Ovis aries: one gene and its partner. The protein of the gene in region 1 interacts with the protein of each later gene in a biochemical or structural test. Links are inferred from orthologs where the notes say so. Each region holds a gene or a part of one and is shown in the gene's direction. Other genes may lie near its edges.

Evidence for each region.
Region 2: the proteins of TAL1 (region 1) and LMO2 form a complex in vitro, tested with the Homo sapiens proteins (2 studies listed by BioGRID). The link is inferred for Ovis aries from reciprocal best matches to the Homo sapiens genes TAL1 and LMO2.

What each region holds. Positions count from the first base shown.
Region 1 is NC_056054.1:21,771,671-21,782,789, reverse strand, and holds the start of TAL1 (T-cell acute lymphocytic leukemia protein 1), read left to right. Parts: upstream 1-4,626; 5' UTR 4,627-5,143; coding exon of another isoform or gene 5,144-5,166; 5' UTR 5,167-5,581; coding exon 5,582-5,766; intron 5,767-7,244; exon of another isoform or gene 7,245-7,305; coding exon of another isoform or gene 7,306-7,310; intron 7,311-7,412; exon of another isoform or gene 7,413-7,581; intron 7,582-8,808; exon of another isoform or gene 8,809-8,966; intron 8,967-11,087; coding exon 11,088-11,119. UniProt on the Homo sapiens protein: Implicated in the genesis of hemopoietic malignancies. It may play an important role in hemopoietic differentiation. Serves as a positive regulator of erythroid differentiation.
Region 2 is NC_056068.1:63,292,722-63,303,675, reverse strand, and holds the start of LMO2 (rhombotin-2), read left to right. Parts: upstream 1-4,214; 5' UTR 4,215-4,356; coding exon 4,357-4,363; intron 4,364-4,486; coding exon 4,487-4,718; intron 4,719-8,743; coding exon 8,744-8,959; intron 8,960-10,954. UniProt on the Homo sapiens protein: Acts with TAL1/SCL to regulate red blood cell development. Also acts with LDB1 to maintain erythroid precursors in an immature state.

The sequences.
Region 1 (11,119 bases):
TGTTTTAAGGATCAACTGAATTAATAGTTATGAAGCTAAGGCCGGCACCTGACACCTAGTACCAACATGTACATGTATTGAAAATAAACTGGCTGCTCACCACAGTGCACAAACACACACACCACATCCCTCCAGGGAACGAGCTCTGGGGAGAAAGCTCAGAGACTGCCTTGTACCCAGAGACAGGGGTAGGCAGAAACACTTCCAAAAAATTTAAAGCCTCAAGTTTGGAGGCGAACCCGGCCTTTGGTGGGGGTGGGGGACAGGTCAGAGAGTGGCGACGGCGACGCCCTCAGGCCCAAAGCCGGGCTCGAAGTTCCCTCCAGGTCTTTTCTCCCAGGCCTTTTCTCCTCACGTCCCCTCCACCTCGACATCCCCAGCCCAGGAGCTCCGGGTTTCCTGCCCGCCCGCGCGAGGCCCCTGCTCGGGGCGGGCGGAGGAGGGGTGGCATTTCCTGGCGGGGCCGCGGGTAGCGTCACTCGCTCCCGGACACTCGGACAGTGCGCTGACCGACAGGCCCCAGATGCTATTTCGGGCGGCGCTCCGTTCAGCGCGCCGTTTCCGTTTTTCCATCGACCGTCGGAAACCGGGAAGGGGGGCGAGTGTAGACGTCACGAGCCCCCAGCCCCAGGCGGGGGGCTGGGGGCCGGGTCGCGATGGCCGCCAGACGGTCAGAATCTGGAGCTTCGCGGATAGAGGGGGATGGGGAGACGTCACCTCACCACGCGTCTCTCTGCGCAGCAGGGCTGACAAAAGCCGTACCTGTCCCTGTTCCTTGCTCACAGCCCTTGGGGTGCCCGGCGGGGTCGTTTAATGCCCTGTAAAATAACCCAACAGCCTGGCGGTTCCTCCAAGGCACCTAAACTCGAGACATTTAAAACCAAATGCAGAATCCCTTATCGTTCCCTTTGGCTTCCAAGCCTCCATCACCAGGACTAACACACCCATCGAGGCAAATTCAGCCAAAAACCCAGAGGGTTCCTGGATCTCTCCTTGCCCCTCACCCCGCCAAACCAAATCTTACACCTGATTTGTGTTCTAAATACATGTCATCTACCTCTTGCCATTTTCCTGGCAACCCTCGTCCCCTCCCGTCCCCTCTCCAATCCCCCTTCCTTGAATCACTGCATTGTCTTCAGAACTGACCTCCCCACATCCTTCCCACCCCCACACACCCTTTCTCCACCTTGCAGCCAAATGGCTTTCTAGAAATGCAAATCTGATCCTGTATAGGACATTACGCTCCCACACCCAACCAAATAAACATGATGGTCCCCTCCTCAATTCTTTGAATTGTCCACAGCCTTGCTTCAGCCATTACTGGACTGTTTTCTGTTCCTTTTATGAACCTCAAGTTCTTCTCCTCCAGCCCTTGGTTTACCTGGAAGGCTCTCAGTGCTCAGTCCTCTAAGCTACCCCTCAGCCTACTCTCCCATCTCAGCCCAGGCATCAATTCTAAGAAAGCATTCCCTGGCGGGGCTCTCCCTTTTCGCAGTTGCTCAGAGATGTGAAATGATTTGCCCAATGGTGCCATAGCCCAAGGGTGGTAGCGCTGGGCTTTAAATTTGGAATTATTTGAATCCCACCCTTTCTATTTAGTGATGCAGCCAAGCAAAGGCAACAGAAACCAGAGACGGGAGAGATGAAAGCCCACCCCCATTGCAGAGAGGTTTCAAGAAAGAAAAGGGCAGGGACTTCCCTGGCGGTCCAGTGGCTAAGACTCCTTGCTCCCAAAGCAGGGAGCCCCGGGTTCAATTCCTGGTCAGGGAACTAGATCTTGCAATGCCACAACTAACACCTAGTGTAGTCAAGTAAATAAATATTTAAATGAAGAAGACTAATAAAGGGGTAGAATTTGGTAACTAACAGTGGGTGAAGCAGGGCTAGAGCCCTGGGGAGATGGGGCTGAGTGAACCACATAGACCTCTCCCCTGAGTCCCTTGCCCAGCAGTTGGTGTGGCTGGGCCAGAGCAGGCTTTGTGGCACGTCCGGGAATTAGACTTTTTCCCAGGACATGGGTAGCCTCTCTTCCATAGGATTCTGTAAAGTTACCCATGTCCACATGGTATCCTGACTTCCACCAGAGAGCACAAGAGAAACAGAGGGAACAGGCTGCACTGAATTAACTGTATCTTTACAGAGAGTTACCTGATAGACAAGGAGGAGCTGGACTCAGGCTTTGGACACACTCTGGACTCAGTCTTCGAATGGGACTTGTTCCGTGAATTCTCAGGCTCCAAAAGGAGCTCAAAACCAAGATGCTAGAAGGACAAAGAAGCCTTGCCTGGTGGGTAGAGTTGGGGACTGGGAACGGGATAACTGAGTTTGGGTCTTGGCTTTTCCTCTAGGTCACTGAAAGCTTTGATAAAGTCACGTCTCCTCATGACCTAATTTCCTTCTCTGTAATGATAACCAGAACTCCTATGTGCAAGTGCATAGGATGTCAGCCTGGGCAAGGTTCCATAAATTATTGCCCTCACCACCTTTTAAAGATCATTTTATATAATGATATATAATGATAACAGTTCTCTGGGGTTGTTACCCTCCCATTTTACAGATAAGAAAGCTGAGGTTCAGATCTACATGACTTGTAGTATTTGAGCTTCCACAGTAAAACAATGAATCTATATACCTTCCATAGGCTGAGCCCACTGCCTTGTGGTTGTTCAGCAGCTCAGTAGTGTCCGACTCTTTGCGAATCCATGGACTGCAGCATGCCAGGCTTTCCTGTTCTTCACCATCTCACAGAGCTGTTAGTGAGCAAGCTGGATGTCAGTGATGCCATCCAACCATTTCATCCTCTGTTGTCCCTGTTTCCTCTTGCTTTCAATGTTTCCCAGAATCAGGGTATTTTCTAATGTGTCAGTTCTTCTAATCAGGTGGCCAAAGGATTGGCGTTTCAGCTTTGGCCTCCGTCCTTCCAATGAATATTCAAGTTTGATTTCCTTTAGGATTGACTGGTTTGATCTTGCAGTCCAAGGGACTCTCAAGAGTCTTCTCCAACACCACAGTTCAAAAGCATCAATTCTTCGTCATTCAGCTTTCTTTATGGTCCAACTCTCATCCGTACATGACTATTGAAAAATCATAGCTTTGACTATATGGACCTTTGTCAGCAAAGTAATGTCTTTCCTTTTAGCATGCTGTCTAGGTTTGTCACAGCTTTTCTTCCAAGGAGCAAGGGTCTTTTAATTTCATGGCTACAGTCACCATCCACAGTGATTTTGGAGCCCAAGAAAATAAAACGTCACTGTTTCCATTCTTTCCCGATTTGCCATGAAGTGATCAGACCAGATGCCATCATCTTCGTTTCTTTGAATGTTGAGTTTTAAGCCAGATTTTTTCACTGCCTGCCCTCTCACAGAACCCAGATTTTTAGGACACAGTACAGATCTGGGCTCCTGCAATGAGTTGAGCCCATATCTGTCCTCCAAGCCTAGGCTCTGGATGGGCTCTGGAGGATTCCGGTGCCAAATTTGCTTCAAACTCAGGTTTCACCACTCAATAGATCTGTAACACTGGGGAAATTACTTTTCCTGTCTGTGCTTCAGTTTCCCTATCTGTTAGGTGAAGATCACCGCATCAACCTCTTAGAATTGTTTGTGAGAACGAAATCAGTTAGTATTTGTACAGGGCTTCAGTGTGTGTTAGTCGCTCAGTCCTGTCTGACTCTTTGTGACCCCATGGACTGTAGCCCGCTAGGCTCCTCTGTTCTTGGAATTCTCCAGGCAAGAATACTGGAGTGGGTTGCCATTTCCTCCTCCAGGGGATCCTCCGGACCCAGGGATTGAACCTGGGTCTCCTGCATTGTGGTCAGATTCTTTACCAACTGAACCACCAGGGAAGCCCACAGTGCTTCAGTAGTGAGATTAAAATGTTAAATGTTCCCGAGCTCTGGGCTCAGCCTGAAACTCAGTAGAATGGATATTTTAAACACTTAGTTGTCACCAGTTCCTCCTCCCTAGAGCCCGTTGGAGAAACCTCAGTCCAGACATTCAGGCAAGCAGGCTCCATTTTAGAGCAGAAAAGAGACAAGGTTCAGGGGGGATGGGAGTGGGAAGGGTGGGAGCTGGGGAGCTTTCTGGGCTAAGAGGAACTGTCCCTTGAAATTCGGGTATCTAGGACACTAGAATGAATAGATGTCAGGGAAGGAAGGGTTAGATGTGACCGTTTGGGTGCTGTGGTCTGGCTGAAATGCGAGTCGTTGGAGAAATGTGTCTCGAAGGAGGAGGGACTGAGGTTGTGGGGAGCCGGGAGATCCGGGAGGCCTCGGGATCTGTAATGAGGCTGCACCCGCCGGGTCCTACACAGAGCCCAGCTCTCTCCGTGGCGCATTCCGGGGCCGGTCCCAAAGCCGTGCAACCAGTCCCCACTCCCCTCCGGTGAAATTGCCAAATTAAAATGAATCATTTGGCCCATAATGGCCGAGGCGCTTATCGGGGGCGAGCGGACCCGCGGCAGTGCCTTATCTCCGCGGCGCACACGGCCCCCGCGCGCCTCGGCCCATGCTAACGAGGCCTAGAACGTGAGCGGGATTAGAGCGCGGCGGTGGAGGAGCCGGGCGCGGCGCGGCGCGGCGCGGGCGGGCGGGGGAACGGGGACGGGGCCGGGGGGAGGGGAGGGCTCGGCACTAAGGACCAGGCCTCAAAATGGCCACACGCGTCCCCCAGTAGCGGCAAAACGTGAGCATTCTGGCCTTTTTCTAGGGGAAGGCAACCTGCAGCCTCTCATGGAATTCCCCATCAATTTCTTCCCTCTTTTTGCCCGCTCGCAAAAACAAGGTTTCGCTCCTTTTCCCTCGGTTTCTTTCGATGGGGGGGCATTTTCCAGGGACGCCCTTGCGCTCGCCGCCGCCGTCGCCGCCCCTCCCGTCTCGGAGACTCTCTTCCTTCCTTCCCTTTTTTCTTACGCAATATACAGAAATGCGCGAGGCGGTGGTTGGTTTTCGTTTCTTCTTGGTGGTTGTGGGCATGCAGTGGAATTGTTGAGAGTGCGTGTGTGAGCTATGGACAGTGTTGACTTCTGAGTGTGGTCTTCCAGGCGACAGGTTGTGTGTCCCAAGTGTGATGGTGCTTGTGCTGTTCGGTGTATAGATTCGGATTCTCCGAGGCCCTTCTGCGTTTTCATCGTTGTAGATACAGTTATGCTCGTTTGCCTTCTCGACATGTATGTTGGGTTGCTTGATCTCGATTGTGTTTGGATAGTCTCGTCGTTGTTTTGGACGTCCGTGATCCTGACTACCTTGGGTCGTGCGCCTAGGAGCGATTGCATTTGATCGGTTTCGTTGTGTCCTGCTGGACAATGTTTGGGCCTGACCGAGTCGGCTTGTGGGGCAGTGTTGCGCTGTGCTTACTTTGCTTCCCTTCTATGCGGCTGGTCCGCGAGTGGCCTTGTCCACCCCGGCTTGTGTGGCTGTGTGCTAGTGTCCTTTGGAAGTGCATTTGTAAATCGCTGGGGGTGGAGGGGAGGGCGAACGAGCGAGAGATGGATGCGCAAGTTGAGGAGGCGGCATGGGGGCGGGGTGAGGGATTTCACATTTTATTCCAATTTATGATGTATTCGGAAGCCAGTGTTGGCTTGGATGAGCAGCTGGATCAGCGGCTGCTCTGTCCGGAGGCCAGTCTGTGCCTCAGTGTTGGAGGGGTTTGTTAGTGAGTGGGAGCCTCTTCCAGGCTGGAAGCTGAGCAGCGTTCGCGGAGGCCCGCGCCTTCAAGCCGGTAGCCGCCAGCTTCGGTTCCCGCGGCACTCAGGCTTCGTCCATTTCTGGTCAGTTTCACGGGTACGGCCGCCGGGGTCTGCGGGAGAGGCCAGGAAAAGACAATGGGCGCATTCTCCAGGCCTCGCGCCTCGGGTGGGGACTTCGGGATCATCTCCAAGGAACATTTTTCCACCCCTTCCCCGGGTGAGCCACATTCCCGCTTGGGTCAGATACCCCGTCGCATCGATGACCAGGGCCGGGCTAGGTCAGTGCTGCCCTAGCTCCTAAAGAAAGGATTTTGTTTTGCCAGTGGTTGTGGTTGCTAATGTCATCATCACCATCACAGTCATCGTCATCACCATCATATTTTAATTAAAATAGTCATGTAGGAGCGACTAGTCCCTTTTAGCTTCTTTGGGGCGATAACAAAGCAGCGGGGGTTTCCTCCCACCAGCGCTCTCTTTTTTAAGTTGCTGGGTTTGTGACTAGGGGAGAAATGGAGAGAGGGAGGAGCACAGAGACTCCATCCTAAAGCAAAAATTAACCCCGACCTAAGACACCGGGCACAACTGGATTTCCCCTTGTTCTCACCCCTCCCCCCTTTTGAATTAGAAGAGGAGAAAGAAAATCTGCATTGGATTGAAACTGCAGGGAACAATTATTACTGTATTTTCACTAAAGCCAGGGCAAAAAAAGGTGGCATTAGCTATTAATCCAAGACTTCGATGTGTGGCCATAAACTGTACGATTTCAGCAAAACAAATTAAACAAAACCTTCCACAGGGAGAGGAAAAAAAAGAAAAAAGGCAAACTAAATTTCCCTGCCACTACACCCTGGGAAGCAATATTTGATTTATTTTTACCCTCCCTCCTTTCCTTGTTTACTGCTGCAAAGAATTAATAGAATTCTCTTGTACTCTGCTGACTTGAATACGGAAGAATCGAAAATTTTGTGTAGGGATGGTTGGAGGGAGAGGCAGGACCTTCCTTCTCTCTCTTTTTTAATTTCTTTCCTTATTTTCCCCTTCCTCATCCTTTTTTGTTTGTTTCCCATAATCGGTAGGAAGAAAAAAAAGGGACCTGGATACATCAGATTCTCTGCCCCCTTCCCCCTATTCTCTCTGATTTCTGCGGTTCAGACTGTGTTGTATCCCTTCGGGAAAGTAGTCTTTGGAATTGGGTTCTGGTTTCGGTTTAGGTTGGAGGTGGGGCGGTGAGAGTCAGAGAGAGAATGGGGCTTCTCAGAGGTTTTGTCCCACCGACCACGGTCTAAAGACTGGATCCCCCTTTTGGTACACACATCCCCCTACCCACCCAAGCCAGGCTGCGGACGACTCCGGTGCTGTGGCCGCAGCTCTGACTCGCCTGACTTCGGTTCCAGAGCCAACCGCTGTTAGAAAACAAACGAGCCACACTGAACCCTCCGGGTTGGAGGGTCCGATAATGTTCAGGGCAGTCTGCCGCGAGCTGTTGTTGTTGGACTATGTAGTTATTCCTGATTGGTCAGGTGCCGGGTTCTTTTTTCTGGGGGTGTGGGGGAGGCTTCAAACACCTGCAGGTCGGGGGTGGAAAGCTGCTGGCGATCCCCAGGGTTGGTTGAGGAGGACATGAGGTAATTCCCAGCCATTGACCCCCATTTCTCTCTCTCCCTCCCTCTTGCCCTCCCTTTCTCTCCACCCCCATCTTTCCTGGAAACTCGCTTTGGGCGCGGCAGACCGCCCAGGACCACACCGCGGCCTAACTGGCCTAACTGCCGGGCTCTCGGTGAGAGACGGGGAGAGCAAAGACCCCCGTCCACAACCTGGACCTCGACTCCCACCTCTCTCTGGCCGGAGGAGTGGAGATCCTATTCAGAGGGGCCTGTCTCTCTAAATATGCCCCAGGTGAGTTTTTGGGGGGATGACAGGGCTGATGGAAACAGTCACCAGGAAGGCCTTGGGATCTGGCCTGAGGTGGGGAAAGCTGGGGACAGAGGACAGTCCAGTTTCAGATTGGGGAGGGGGAGAGGAGGATGAACCCAGAGCTGGGAATCCTGAGATCTGACTCTGCCACTGACTGCGGCCTCTGCTACTGTGGCTTCCAGCAGGGCCCTTTCCCGCATAAGAACAGTTAGTTGGACTGTATTCCCCCTAATGCTCCATGGTTCCGTAAATGTTTCACAAGGCTCATAACTTTGGGACGGCTGTATTCGGATAGGTCAGGTTGTGTGCAGTGGGGAGGGGAGGGCCCCGGCAGGAAGAAGGCCGCAGCCATCCTGGCTAACGCAGTCCTAACTTGGGTGGGCCCAGTCGGGGGCCTCAGGCCTAGGGTGGGGCTGCGTTCGAACACCCCTCCACACCAGTAGCAGCGGGAAAGTGGTTCTGTTCTGGGGTGATTGTGGTTTGTGTGCAGGCTTGGGGCTCCCCTAGGGGGTCATGCCGGGGTGGGGGTGTGTGTGGATGCAGTATGAGGGACCGACTGGAGGCCAAGTCTAAGGCAGTGGCTCTAGCCCAGGGCATGGCGGAGGCTGCTTTTACACAAAAAATTTTCCCTGCTGGGGATGGGGAACTGCCAGAAACCAGGTGTCTGCCCCTAGAGCTCTCAGGTTCTCCGGTCTCCTTCAGACACATATGGAAATGATCCGGCTGCCTGCCTGGCAACAGGAGATGAGCCGAGGTAGGGGGCTTGGAGCTGGGATTTGGTCGCACAAAGAGGAGTTGTAATGGTCGAATAGTCCAGCGCTGTTCAGTTCAAAATCTGCAATCTTCTCACTCCCCTTCTTCATTTTCCCTAATAAAAACAAGTAAAAATCACTAGGCTTTCGTTTCGATAATCTTAACCAAAGCCAAGTGATCGGGTTTAATCACCGATCACCGAAAGTGAATTCTGCAGTGACTTCCTCAAGAGTCGGGATCCCTGGCCTTGGGTGATCCTGGTTGCAGAGAGCAAGCAGGGTTTTCCTGAGGTCCCAGGAGGGGCGGGGAGAGGTTGGCCACAAAGCCCAGGGGACCAATTATAGGTTTCTCAGGGGGAGTCTGAGAGATACAGATATTTATAGGCATCTGGAGAGAGCATTCGGGCCAGAGTCAACTCATCTAAAATACTTACTCCCACCACCCCCACCCCCTGAGATCTGATCCTACACAGAGCCTCAGAATGAATCAGAAGGTATAAGCAGGAGAGCTTGGGCTCATTTTGGCGATTGCATAGTGAACTGCTCGTCATTCATTTAGAAGCTGAGACTGAAGCACGTGTCACTGGGTGCACAACGGTGCGTGGGGATAGTAAGGTAGGGAGCCAGCCTCTTGGGGCTTGTATGTTTTGCCAGAGGACTGTATATTTCCAATGCATTTCACTGTTGAGGGGAGCCAGGAAGTCTCTAGTGGTATACTTCTGGTGCATTTCTAGTGACTGAAGTGTCTTGGCAGTCCCATTCTGTGGATATAGACCTATTGTTTCCACCATAATCATAAACTCGCTTCCAATGAAGTGTTGCGGACCTACTGCCTTTGCAGCCAGGGTATACCAAGTCTAAGGGAATTTTGTCGTTTTGGGGTCCAGCCCATGGGGCTGGCAGACTTAGGGCAGGAGCATAATTGGAATGGTGATTATTCATCAGCTGTGTCTGGTGGCAACTAAGCTGAGTGACATCTGGAGGTTTCAGAAGGTCCCATCTTTCTTCTGGGGTGGGAGGATGGCTCCCAGGCCAACTAGTCCAGAGCGGTGCAGGGGCAGAATGGCTGCCAGGAATGAATTCTCTGCTTGGGGCTGAGTTGGATTTTTGTGTATTTTTTTTCTGTTATAAAATACCCCACTTATATAATTCCGATAGCAGAAACTTTATTTTGAACGTCTTATAAAGCCTGTCGAGTTGGTTATGTTTTTGTTGTTTTATTAAAAGTGACAAATATTTTCACACTCTGGACCCGGAGTCTCATAGTTTTTCTGTTTTCGGTTTGTGTGTGTGTGTAGGGGTGGTGGCGGTTGTTGCATGTTATGGAAGAACTGGGAGAGAGTGGAAATGCAATCACTCTGCCTGCAGTCACCCTGGAGTGTGGTTGAGGAGGAGAGCAATGTCCTTGGTTGGAGATGGGGGGATATATGGGAGGGACATATATGGGGGATATATGAGATATATGAATATATGTGTACCGAAGATAAGCAGATAAGCGACTTAGCATGCATGCATGCACTGGAGGATTGCAAAGAGACTGGAGTTCTAGTCCCACTCTTTGTGACCTTGGGCAAGGCAGTCCCCTTTCGGGCCCAGTCTCTCTGCCTATAATAATGTTTACTTAAGCATTTGCATAGTGCTTTTAAATGCATATATGAGGTATTCCTCTTGTTCCCCAGAAGACAACACTGAAGTGGGAAAGGGAGATGGGTGAGTGCTGGAGGAGTTCCCCAGCCATCATTACACCCCTTCCTCACATTCGTGGATGGGCGCCCAGAGCCCAGTGGCCTTAAGAACACTACTCTTCCAATGTCCGGGCTCCACACCGCCTCAGCCAGGCCTCCCTTCTAGACCCCCACCTCACTGCTGAGTCCAGCTGAGCAAAAGGAAGTACAGTGTGCAGGGAGGTAGGGCCTGGATCATCTTCTTCCCTCCCTGATGACCCATCTCCAGTCCTGGTGGGAGTAAAGGGTCACTGGACATTCCAGCGGCTCCACAGAACACAGGTGGATTTGCTGGGTGTAGACCGACACCCCCGCGGGGGTGGTGGTGAATGTGTGTTGAAAGGGAGAGCTGAGTTCCTTTGGATAATTCTCTGCCAGCTCTGATCACTCCCGCACCCCCACCCCCACCAGATTTCCAGGTGTACGTATGTGGGTATGTGGCGGCAGGCTGGGGGCACGTTGAAAGAAGAGGGTGTTTGCAAAAAGCACCCCACCTCCGCGCGACAGGTTCCCCGCCAAAACCAAAAGAGGGGCGGGAAGAGCACAGTCGGTCGGGGATTTGCTCCCTCCTCTTCCCGTGCGGCCCCGAGAAGGGGCACGGGTGGTATTTCTTTCTCGCCTCTTTTTGCATTTCCTTCCTCCTCCCTCCCCTACCCCCCAACTCTGTTTTTCTTGCGCTGGCTGGATTTGTATTCCTTTTCTTCCAATGTCTCTGGTGCTTATCCACCTCTGTCCCTTCGGCCCTCAGTCTCTGTCTCCCAGGCATCCCCTTCTCTTCTCCCAAACCGGAGACCCCCCTTTCTCTCCGGCCCCAGCACCCCGGGCTCGTGTGTGTCCACGTGGCGTTAAGTTGGTCCGCGTCTTCTCACGTCTTCGTGCGTGAGTTTCCCTCCGCTCTTCACCCCCTCCCTCAGCAGCCGCCCCCCGCGCCGCCCCATCCCGCCCCCCAGCGTGGGTGGGCCGGGGGCCGTGGTCTGAGCGGGCGTCCGCTTGTCTGTCTGTCTACCCGCAGGATGACGGAGCAGCCGCCGAGCGAGGCGGCAC
Region 2 (10,954 bases), on another chromosome or scaffold:
TTTAACTCTGCTTAAGACCTCGCTGCGGACTTGTGACATTTGGGGGCAGTTACTTAAGCAGTTTGACTTTGTCTCTCATCTCAGTCCTAACAGGTGATTTAGAAGTTGCTGGAAAATCAGAAACATGCAATCAGGGCTGTGGCTGAAGCAGATGAAGGGAAGTGATGAAGCTGTCAACAGCCTACCTAGGACCTAAATGGTCACATTCCTGAATTTCTGATTGGAAAGTGGGGGCTTCCCAAGCCTGAAGCCAGCTGATGTCTTAGGTACACTTCAGCTTTTTCTACAGCACCCCAGTCTCAGCATTCTTTGGTGGATGTCCTGACTGGCTAGGAGATTGCTGCTTCCTGATACAGTAGTGATGACTTCTGAAAGATGGGGTAATAACAACAGGTATCATTTCTGAGCATTTACATCACTGTGCAAAGCATTTTTATACACATGACCCTATTGAATCCTCTTAAAACCCCTGTGAAGTAAGCAGATATCCCTGTGACCTTACTCTAGTCCCAACCCTGCTGAGTTTACTGTTGCCTCCATTTGAGAGATATAGAATCTGAGGTTCAGAGAGGTGAAATGACTTCCCCCAAGTCACCCAGCTAGTAAACAGCGGAGTTATGCCTTCTGACACCTATGCTCATCTCCTAAACTCAGTTGATAAAGATTTTTGAAAAAGATTTACCGGGCTTTTTTCTCCTATATAGGAAAACTGGTTTATTTTTCACTAATGTTACTGATAGATCTAACATTCTGAAAATATGTCCATCAACATGCCCTGAAATGTTCTGAGATGAGTTTGGAAACCAGATTCCTGTGAAAACTGAGTTGTTTAAAGGAGTTTCCATGGGAGCTGAAGCCATAATAAGACAAATCTTTATTTTTGTCCCTATACGTGAATGTCATAACTAACAGGTATATGATGCAACTTGGCTTCTAAAGGTTGCAAAAAAAAACAGAAGAGGTAAATTGTCATTCTTGGCATTTTCCCAATGACATTTGCATTTTCCTTTCTACTAGAAGCCCATTTTAGCAAAGAAATGTAGCCTTAGTCACTTGAAACTGCTCTTCCTGAGAAAACAATTGTAGATATAATAAGCAAAAAGAATAGAAAATGCCAACAGAAAGAAAGTAATCCACCTAGAGTCAGAATCATCATGCCAACTGATTCAGTCTTCCTGTGACATTCATAGTCAGGAAGGAAAACTTGGAAATTTTCTAAATTTTAAGGTATGTAAGATTTGCAAGCAGTCAAGGGTGGGTAAAAGGAATTAAATTGCAAACCCACTGGGGAGGGATCAAGTCGAGATTTCCTCAACTCTCAAGAACCATTTTACATGTTCAAATTGCCTCCTAGTTACTGAGTCGTTCTTCTACATAAAGCATAAGGTTGCTATGGAAGGATACAATAAGGTCATGATTGCTTTAAAATTATTCATAATGAAAACACATTTTGAGACTCGATTCTAAATGTTAAACTTAAATTTGAGCAATTTAATTGCCCGTTGAATAGAAATGAAATCCCACCGGCAGGCAGTTATTTCTTACAACCACTGTGTGTGAAATTGAAATCTTAAGATACCATTTCAAATATTCACTTTCTCTAAGGAAGTTCTCCCCAAAGAGTAGTGAAAGATAAGAAACTGACCCAAAGTCATCAGTAATCACTCTTTCTTTACACATTCGGGTCAAAACAGAAGCATATTATTAAAAGGAAACTTCAGGTCCCAAAGTTGGCCGTTTGGAGGTTACCTCCTGAAACCCAAGGATATATTTAATTTAACAACTAACTTAGGCTCCATGCAAAACTATATAGCAAGGAAGGAAGCAACTTATCAGATTTAATAAAAGCAAGCAGATGAAAACACATCACGCAGTCATCAAGATAGTGAACTGGAAAATGCATGTATGTTTTGTATACTAGCACAAGGAGGTGAAGTGAAAGGACACCATTCTGTTTGCTTTTTAAAAATGGGACAGGTTTTCAAATCTAGGTGGGAAATTGGGAAGTTCTTATTTTTAACCTCCATTTCACCTGTGAATTTAATTTCAAACTCTCTAAATTCTCCCAGCGATTTTTTTCTACAACACAGAAATGACCATTTATGAGTGCTTAATATACACCAAATGCTTTGCAGGCATGTAATCTCATATCCATTATTATCCTCAGTTCATTACAGGTCTACGGGCCACACTGCATGCGTTTACTCTTTTAATCCTTACAACAGTTGATGCAACAGGCTCTCATACCCCTACTGACAGATAAGGATCCTGGGAGTTTATAGATTCCTGCTCTTCCACTAGATTCACAGGTAGGAAAGCGTGGGTTGTTATGAAGGCAGCCTGACTCCACAGCCACTACCCAATACTGCCTCTTCAGATTAAGTGACTTTCCTAGATAGGCTCCACTAGCTGATAAGTAAGAGCCTAAATCAAATGCAGGCAGTCCAATGCCGAAGTCTGAGCGTTTCACCACCACACTGATTGGTTGTAAGCAGGTGAATTGCTCATCAAAGCCTATTTGTTTATTTTCATTTTTGATTGTAGAGTGGTGGGTTATATGTTTATCACATAATTTAGACTGACTTAAAAATACTAGACATTTTTCCTTTTTTAATTAAAAACAGGGACCTGAGCAGAAGTTCTTTTTAGATTGAAAGGCTTGAGTTGGACCCAAATCTGCTCTTAAGACTTCCTTTCACACACACACACACACACACACACACACACACACACACACACACACACACAGGAGACAGTGGAGGAATTAGGAAGAGATTTTCATTATACCCATAGGGACCTAAGCTTTGGACATGGACATAAGAAAAGGACAAGAGCATGCAGACAATGGTAAATTCTAGGTATGCATGTAAGAAGTTAGAATCAGCTTTAAACAAGGAAAACGAAGCCTACAGGGATGTACTTCTGACTTCACCTTCCAGGGTGATTTCATCCAGACCCTTCAGTGCCATCTTTAAAAAGGGAATACAGTGTCCATGACCATGATCTAGACTGCTCCTATAAAACCATGGATCCTGAGAATACTGGTAGTTTCTTCTTTACAAGACTTGTGGCACGCTCAAGTAGGCCTTTAGTAATAATTTCTGAATGCAATTATTTTCAGGGATCTCTGATGAGGCCCAAGGGACCTAAAGCTTTGCTCTATTGAAGAGAAGACTTTTAGCTTCCTCCTCTCCCGTTCTACATTCGCCTCTCTTCTTGGAGTTTGCCCTTGAGATTAGATGGGGAAGCCTGAACCAAACAAGTCTGCGTTCTCTCTCTTTTCCTGACCCAGGGCAAAATAGTCTCCAAGCATTGCTCTCCATCATTGGAGAGGCACTTTTCTCTGTGAAGAGTGCTATTGGCCCTTTACGGGGCCAGTTTAACTGTAGGGGTCCGATTTTTAAAGATGCTGAGGGAGGGAATTCTGCCGCCGGCAGATGGAGAGGAGACTCAGACCAGCTTGGTCCCTCCCAAACACCCTCCCTCGGGATTAGCTGCCCCTGGTGCTGCTGAGGCGTACCCAGCCCGTGCGGTCCCTGCTCGCACAGCTCCCGTCGTCTTTTTGGAGCGCGGACGCAGTCACAAGTCCTCAGCCAGCAGAGCCGCGCTGTCTTGGGGGCATCTCCGCGTTCCCTGGCCGCGGACCTGGGACCTCCAACCCCGGACGCGCGCGAAAGCCACTTGGAACGCGTACATCTCTGTATGTGTTTATTTCACATTTTCGTTTTTTCTTTCTTCCTTGAGCGGCCCGCTGGTCACTTTCAATCTTAGTTAACCAAAAGGGGAACGCCGAAGAGGGAAAGCCCTAAAGAATGCTTCACAGGCAACCCAGCCGCCTCTCCAAGGAGAGGTGGTCTCTGAGCGAGTCTCCCTTGTCCCCGACGCTGGCCCCTTTAAGAAGCCAACTCAGTCTTGCTGCGGCTGCCGCTGTTTGTATCGCTAATCCCCAGGAGCCCCGTTTAAAAAAAAAGGGAAGAAAAAAGATGGTGGTGGCGGGGGGGACCGGGCAGCTGTCTCTTTAAATGTGATTTCCTTCTATTGTATTTGAATCGTGATCAGGAAAAAGGAAATGAAACCAGAGACAGAGGGAAGCTGAGCGAAAATAGACCTTCCCGAGAGAGGAGGGAGCCGGGGGAGAGAGGCGCGGTCCCCTCCCCGCCCCCAGGCCGCCGCCCCCTCCCTGCCCTCGGCGGCGAGCTGCGCGCCGCGACCCCGGCTGAAGGTGCGAGGGGCGCGGGGCGGCCGGGCGGGCGCGCACCATCCCCGCGGGCGGCGCGGAGCCGGCGACAGCGCGCGAGCCGAGCCAGACCCGGCGGCGGCGGCGGCGGCGGCGGCGGCAGTGGCGGCGGGACCGGGATGGAAGGTTAAGTCCTGAGCAGCAGTAGCAGCTGCAGCCGCCCGGGGCCAGGCTGCGCGCCCCGGTCCCCTCCTCGGCCGCGGCGCGCCGGCAGCCCGGTGATTCGCTCTCTCTCTTTGGCGTTTGAAGGGAGCGCGGTGACTGTCCTTGAGCGCGGAGGGGCGAGCTCGCCGCCAGAGCGCCGGAGCAAGAAGAGGCGCAGGAGCGGCGGCGGCGGCGGCGGCGCCCGAGCACCCGAGGGGGTCCGAGCCCCGGCAGCCGGCCAGCCCCGCGCCACAAAGGGAGCGCCCCCGCCGCCTGGCACGCCACCTCCCTCCCCAATGTCCTCGGCCATCGAGAGGAAGAGCCTGGACCCATCTGAGTAAGTGTGACGCCCCTGCCACCGAGGGTCCACGGCCTCGCGACCCGGAGCGGCGGGGTGGGGCGGGCGGCCGGCGGGAAGGCTCCAGGTGCGCGCCCGCGGCGTGCCCTTGGTTCCCTCTGCCGTGCGCGGGGCTCCCGCATCCTCTTGGGTGACCCCGGGGACACTGGGAGAGGGGCTGGTGGCGGGCGGCAGGAATGCGGTCGGCCCGGCGCCTCAGCGGGCCCCTCGCGGCTCCCTGGGACGCTCCCTAAAGCCACTTCGGGCCAGAAAGTTTGCACAGGAGCATGCACAAGGGGAGGTCAGAGGCGCGCCGGTGCAGTCCCGAGAGCCTTCAGGACTCGATTCTGCTCCCTTTTCCCCTCTCGTTCCTTCTCTTTGTCCGTTTGGTCCTGGAAAGGGGGACACTACAAGTGGAGCCCCCCACCCCGGGTCCCCGACGGTCCCCTTCCGGGTCCGCAGGTGGAGCGGTTGCCCACGGCGCCGGGGACCCACGGGTGAGGAGGTGCGAGAGTTCACCTCGGAGCTCACCCAGGCCTCCAGAGACTTTAGAGCAGCCGAGCAACACGGGAGTTAGTCTGGATACGCGGACACGCCTCTCCCCTCGGAGTCCACCGATGGGTACCTTTGAACCTCCAAAGTTAGTGCACCATTTTGGATATAGGTGAATTTTTCCGGAGAGCGGAGTCTTAAACGGCTTTTGTCACAATCTCAAAGGGTTTAGGGTCTGGGAAACAGAGCTCTAAATGAACCGCATTTGTTTTCTGAGCCCATTGCTCAGTGTTAACATGGGGAGAGAGGGATGTTTAAGATGTCATTTTCCCGTCAGCGCAAATGCCCTTTTAAGATTCATTAGCTGTCTGGTTTTGAGAATTTTTATTCCTTTGAAGTCCCCATCTAAATCCTTTGAAGGGATTTGTTACACAGACCAAAGGAGCTGGTTAATGACTTGTCCATTTGTGCTTTTAAGAGGCATTTGTTTTGTTTTGTTTTCTTTTCCTGCTTTAAAAGAATTGTGCTTTCCTGATTGAAATACCTCCTCCTCCCAATTTCAGCCTCCTATGGTGTTTATATACCTGGGTTTTACCAGCATAAAAGCTCAGCGTGTTCTCATAAAACACAGGAAGTAACCATGATCCAGTGAGAATATAAACATCACTATTCAATCTTGAAGGTTCAGAAGCCAGATCTACAAGGAGTCAGGTTTGTTCTAACAAAAACCCAGCTTCCTTAAATTCTCAGGGAAAAAAATAACATTGCTTTTTTTTTTTTTTTTTAAGTATTTGTTTAGGAAAACTCTGGGAAGGGTGCTTTGCTCACTTTTTTTTTTTTTTTTTTTTTACAAACCTAGAATGATAACTTAGCCCTGAGTTTTCAGAGCCTGGGCAAGATGATAGTAATACAATAAGAGAGTGCATTGGATGAATTACCTTTGAAAGGTGCCTAATGCCTTTTCGATCAATAGAACTTAGTCACTAATCTTTTTATTAGAAGATAAATCTGGAGGTTTCAGTTCCCTGAAGGAAGGTTGCTCCTTTCAAAGTTTGTGCTTTTTCACAAAGAGACTGGAAAATTGAAACATGTTCACCTCATAACACAGCAGGCATCTGCGGAAGGATGCTCAGTAGGGTGCTCTTCTCTATCCTTTGCTTCACTATTTGCCCAGTGAAGATAGGCTTTAATTGGAGATGGACCAGCTAGCTGAGAAATTATTGCAGAACATTTTTCCCCCATATCTTTCTTGGAAACTGTTGAGAAATTATCCCAGAAATCCAGGCCAAAGTGTATTGAGGTGTAATGTTCAGATAGGCTCTAGGAGAATGTAAAATATTAATTAGAGGGTGAGTCCCACAGTTATTGGCTTGGAACCTCCACCAAAGATAATGTGATATTATCTTTAATTATAGAAAGATAGAGCCAATATCTTATTCAGTCCTTTCCTATCTCATATTAGGCCATCACAGACAGTAGCTTTTTGGCTTAACATTTCCTCCTGTGGACCACTACCCTACCAGATGCTTCAGTGAGTACATACTTGGGTCAGTGTGACTGAGGTCAGTCTGATCAGCAACTCCAAATTACACCCAGAAACTTGCCTAGGCCTATGCAAATGAAACATTTAGACAGAAAGACAGCCAGAATTCACACACACACAGATTTCCTCTACTGTGCCGTCGGTGGCCCCTCCTGCCTCCCTGTGAATAACAGGAGCAGTTCATTTCAATTCCAGGCAGTTTTGCACCAGCTAAGTGCAAATTCTCTTCTTTCACAGTTGGTTGGCAGGATCTGCGTCAGGGCATCCAGTGGTGTTGAGGTTCCATGAATGTTTCTGAAAGCCTAAATAAGGCCACGGGCTGTGAAAAGGGAAGAGAAGTGATTCTGAGGCACAGGGAAATGCTGGGTGTTTTATTTTTTCAGGAGGGAGGGTGGAAGTCCTTATACATAACCTGTGGAAACAAAGACAAGTCAGGCTTCAGTGGATGTTTAAAACTCTATTTAAAGTGTGGAGTTTTTAGGAGATAATTAGTTTGGGTTTTACAGTTCCCTGGGCTAAAAGGAGATCATCTCACAAAGGACCCTCATACCCATTCTGCAAAGTGTGGGCTCGGTTTCAATATGCTTGAATATTCACAGGGAAGCGTGCACTTTAAAGACAGTTCTCTGAAGGTGTCAGAGTGTGTTATCAACACTGATTCCCTGAGCCTCATCCTTCCTAAGTATAAAGGGCCTTAAATGCTGTGGGCACAGGCCAGTCAGGATGCAAGGTCACCAAGTAAGCCAGCATCAGCTGGAAATAGGAGACACAGATTTATATCCTCAAGGTACCAAGGGGGAAATTCCCTTTGGGAGTTTCACAGTTAGAAGCAAGTCCATTTTTCCAAACATAACAGATTTTTGATAAATAGATTTGTGTTTGAGTGAAGTTCAAGAGAGCATTTGTTAATTGCTACAGATCAACAGGTACTCAGTTTTTCCCATGTCCCATCTGGTGCAGGAATCATTTCTCGCACCCTATTATTTTTTTATCTTCTTCTGGCAAGTAGAGTTATTTCTTTTAAAATGTAAAACAAAAGGATTCAGATTCCAGTTAAGTGAACTGGGGACACTATATGATTTTGTAATGAAAGAACACATGTCACAGGCTCACTCTTAACAATTGCCTGGAGGAGATTTCAGTGTTTAATTGCCTTCCACACTCTCTCCCCATTCTCTTTCCTAAATCAACTTCATGCGAATCAGATTTGCTGCTGTAAAAGTGTTCATGTGCAAAAAGTTCTGTTTGATCTTTATAAATATAACAGTGGCTTTAATCAACACCTGAGATTTTTTCCTCAAGGACTCATTCCGTAAGAAGGATAGGATGTGGAGTTTCTGTTAAAAATAATAATAATGAGAATTTCTATTATATCTTGATGGTATTTTTATTTGGGAAAGAGAAAGCAACCTAAAATAATTTGGGGACCCTTTCTTCCTCACCTCTACATTCGTGCAGTTGGAAAGGGATGGAGTCCAGGTGGCGCAGAGATTCAAAAGGGAATTTGAAGATGTTTAATCCGCTAGTTAGTCACTGTTCTGGCCACAAGCAGCTCTTAGAGTCCTGGTGCCTCCTCTGGGGTTGGGCAGTGCCCTTGGCTCCGGGATATGGGGGGAGGAAAGAGATGAGGTGTGGAGGTAGAGTTTGAGGGGAGGGGGGATCAAGAAGAAGAGAGACCACAGGTCTGGGAGGGGGCTGGGCTGTAGGTGGACGGGGGTGTGCAGTACCCTTTGCCTGGGTGCCTCTTGGTGCCCCGCCCTTGCTTCTTCTAGGATCTAGAACGTAGGGGCTAGCCCCTTTCCTGTCCTAACCCAAGGCTGGCGGGGCCTCCCTGCCCATCGTCGGCCCTAGGTGTATGCTCCTCCCCTCCTTTCTCCGATGTCACCAGACAATTGAGTGAGGTTCTCTGCGGGGCGCAGTGTGACTCCTGAGCCCCTGGTGCTGGTCTCCCCGAGGTGAGGCCATCCCTAATGCGTGGCCTTCCTTCCAGGGAGCCGGTGGACGAGGTGCTGCAGATGCCCCCGTCCCTGCTGACATGCGGAGGCTGCCAGCAGAACATCGGGGACCGCTACTTCCTGAAGGCCATCGACCAGTACTGGCACGAGGACTGCCTCAGCTGTGACCTCTGCGGGTGCCGGCTGGGCGAGGTGGGCCGGCGCCTCTACTACAAGCTGGGCCGGAAGCTCTGCCGCCGAGATTATCTCAGGTGCGTCCTCGCCACCCTCCTGGGGCCCTGGCTCTGTCTCCCTGGCCCCTGCCTCCTGGGCCAGCCAAGATCACGTTGGTCTCAGCTGCCCTGTGCGGGAAGCAGTTGGCCGTTCTTCCTGTTAGAGAAGCATGTTCTCAGGGACACATGCCTGTGTGGTCCAGTTCTCATATTTTAAAGGCAAGAGAGTGATGAGCACAAAATTCAGAATAGTGGTTCCCTCTGGAGGTCAGACAAGGGGAGAGGGTGGGAGGAGGAAGATGCGGGGTATGCCAAGGGAACTGGGAGTTTTGAAGCTTGTAAGTTTGAGGGTAGATTCCTAGCAGCTCATTTGAAGATGCGGGGTATGCCAAGGGAACTGGGAGTTTTGAAGCTTGTAAGTTTGAGGGTAGATTCCTAGCAGCTCATTTGATGCTTCAAAAACATATGCATAGGTTCTAAGTATTCTTTTGTAAGATCTCGATATAATGTGATGATATATTTTAAAAGAGTAGCATGGAAACATATACACTGCTGCTGCTGCTAAGTCGCTTCAGTTGTGTCTCACTCTGTGCGACCCCATAGACGGCAGCCCACCAGGCTCCCCCGTCCCTGGGATTCTCCAGGCGAGAACACTGGAGTGGGTTGCCATTTCCTTCTCCAATGCATGAAAGTGAAAAGTGAAAGTGAAGTCACTCAGTCGTGTCGGACTCGTCGCAACCCCATGGACGGCAGCCTACCAGGCTCCTCCGTCCGTGGGTTTCTCCAGGCAAGAATACTGGAGTGGGGTGCCGTCGCCTTCTCCGAACATATACACTAATGTATATAAAACAGATAGCCAGTGGGAACTCGCTGTATGACTCAGGGAACTCAATCTGGGGCTCTGAGACAACACAGAGGGGTGGGATGGGGTGGGAGGCTCAAGAGGAAGGGGACATGTGTATGCCTATGGCTGATCCATATTGATGTATGGCAGAACACCACACAATATTGTAATTATGCTTCAATTAAAAATAAATTTTAAAAAATTGAAAGTACAATCTCACTCCAGCACTCCAAGCAGTTCTGGTCACAGCAGGAAGGCCCTGAAGTCAGCTGTAGATTTGAGCCCCGGCACCACTGCTTTCTAGCTCTGTGACCTTGGACAGGTTATATAACCTTCCTAAGTCTCAGTTTCCTCATCTGTAAAATGGGGTTATAGAATAGCAGTACCTGCTTCCAGAAAGGGGTGGGAATTAGATGGGGTGGTACATGTAAGGTGCTTGGCGTGGTGCATGGGTATCAAATAGATGTTAGCTGCTGTCTTTCAGTAACCCTCATGACGTTTATCATTAGAGTCTTTCCCGACCTAATGAACAAAGTGATGGAAGGAGGGAAAGGCAGAAGAGGAACTCTAGAACACCCGCTGAGAGAGGCACTGAAGATATCTCAGATACTCTGGGTCATACATTTGGCTATGTGAATTTTCCGACTCTCAAACAAGTGCCTTTGCCTGGAATGTTCTAGTTTCATATGAAATTTCCAGTTTCATATTAGCTGCGGCAGAGGTAACTCTATGCCCTCTGCTGTCAAATCTGCTTGACTGTGTAGCTGTCAGTTTTTTTTGCCATCTTCGTGGGGTATAGGGTCTGTGGAGCATGCAGCCTTAATACATTAGGACCACCCAACCCAGGGAAGCTTGTTTAGACTCCAGTGCCCTTGGCTGCCAGGCCAGCTCTTTCTCCCAAACCTGCCCTCAGAGCATTTTACATTAAAAGAAAATTGCAGGCAATTCCATGGTGAAGCAAGCTTATCTATTTACCCAGAGACTGACAGAATAAGCATTTTCTCCCCCCTAAATTTCCTGATTAAAGTCCTTGCAAATTTGGTGGTTCAGAGAAAAGAAGTCAAGTTTCCAAGGATCATGATTTTAATTTTGATCCTTTATTATTATTATTATTATTAAGGAACAAGAACATAGAACTGGGGTAAGTAGAGACCTGATTCTGCTCGCTACTAGTTTGCCAAGTCAGTGCA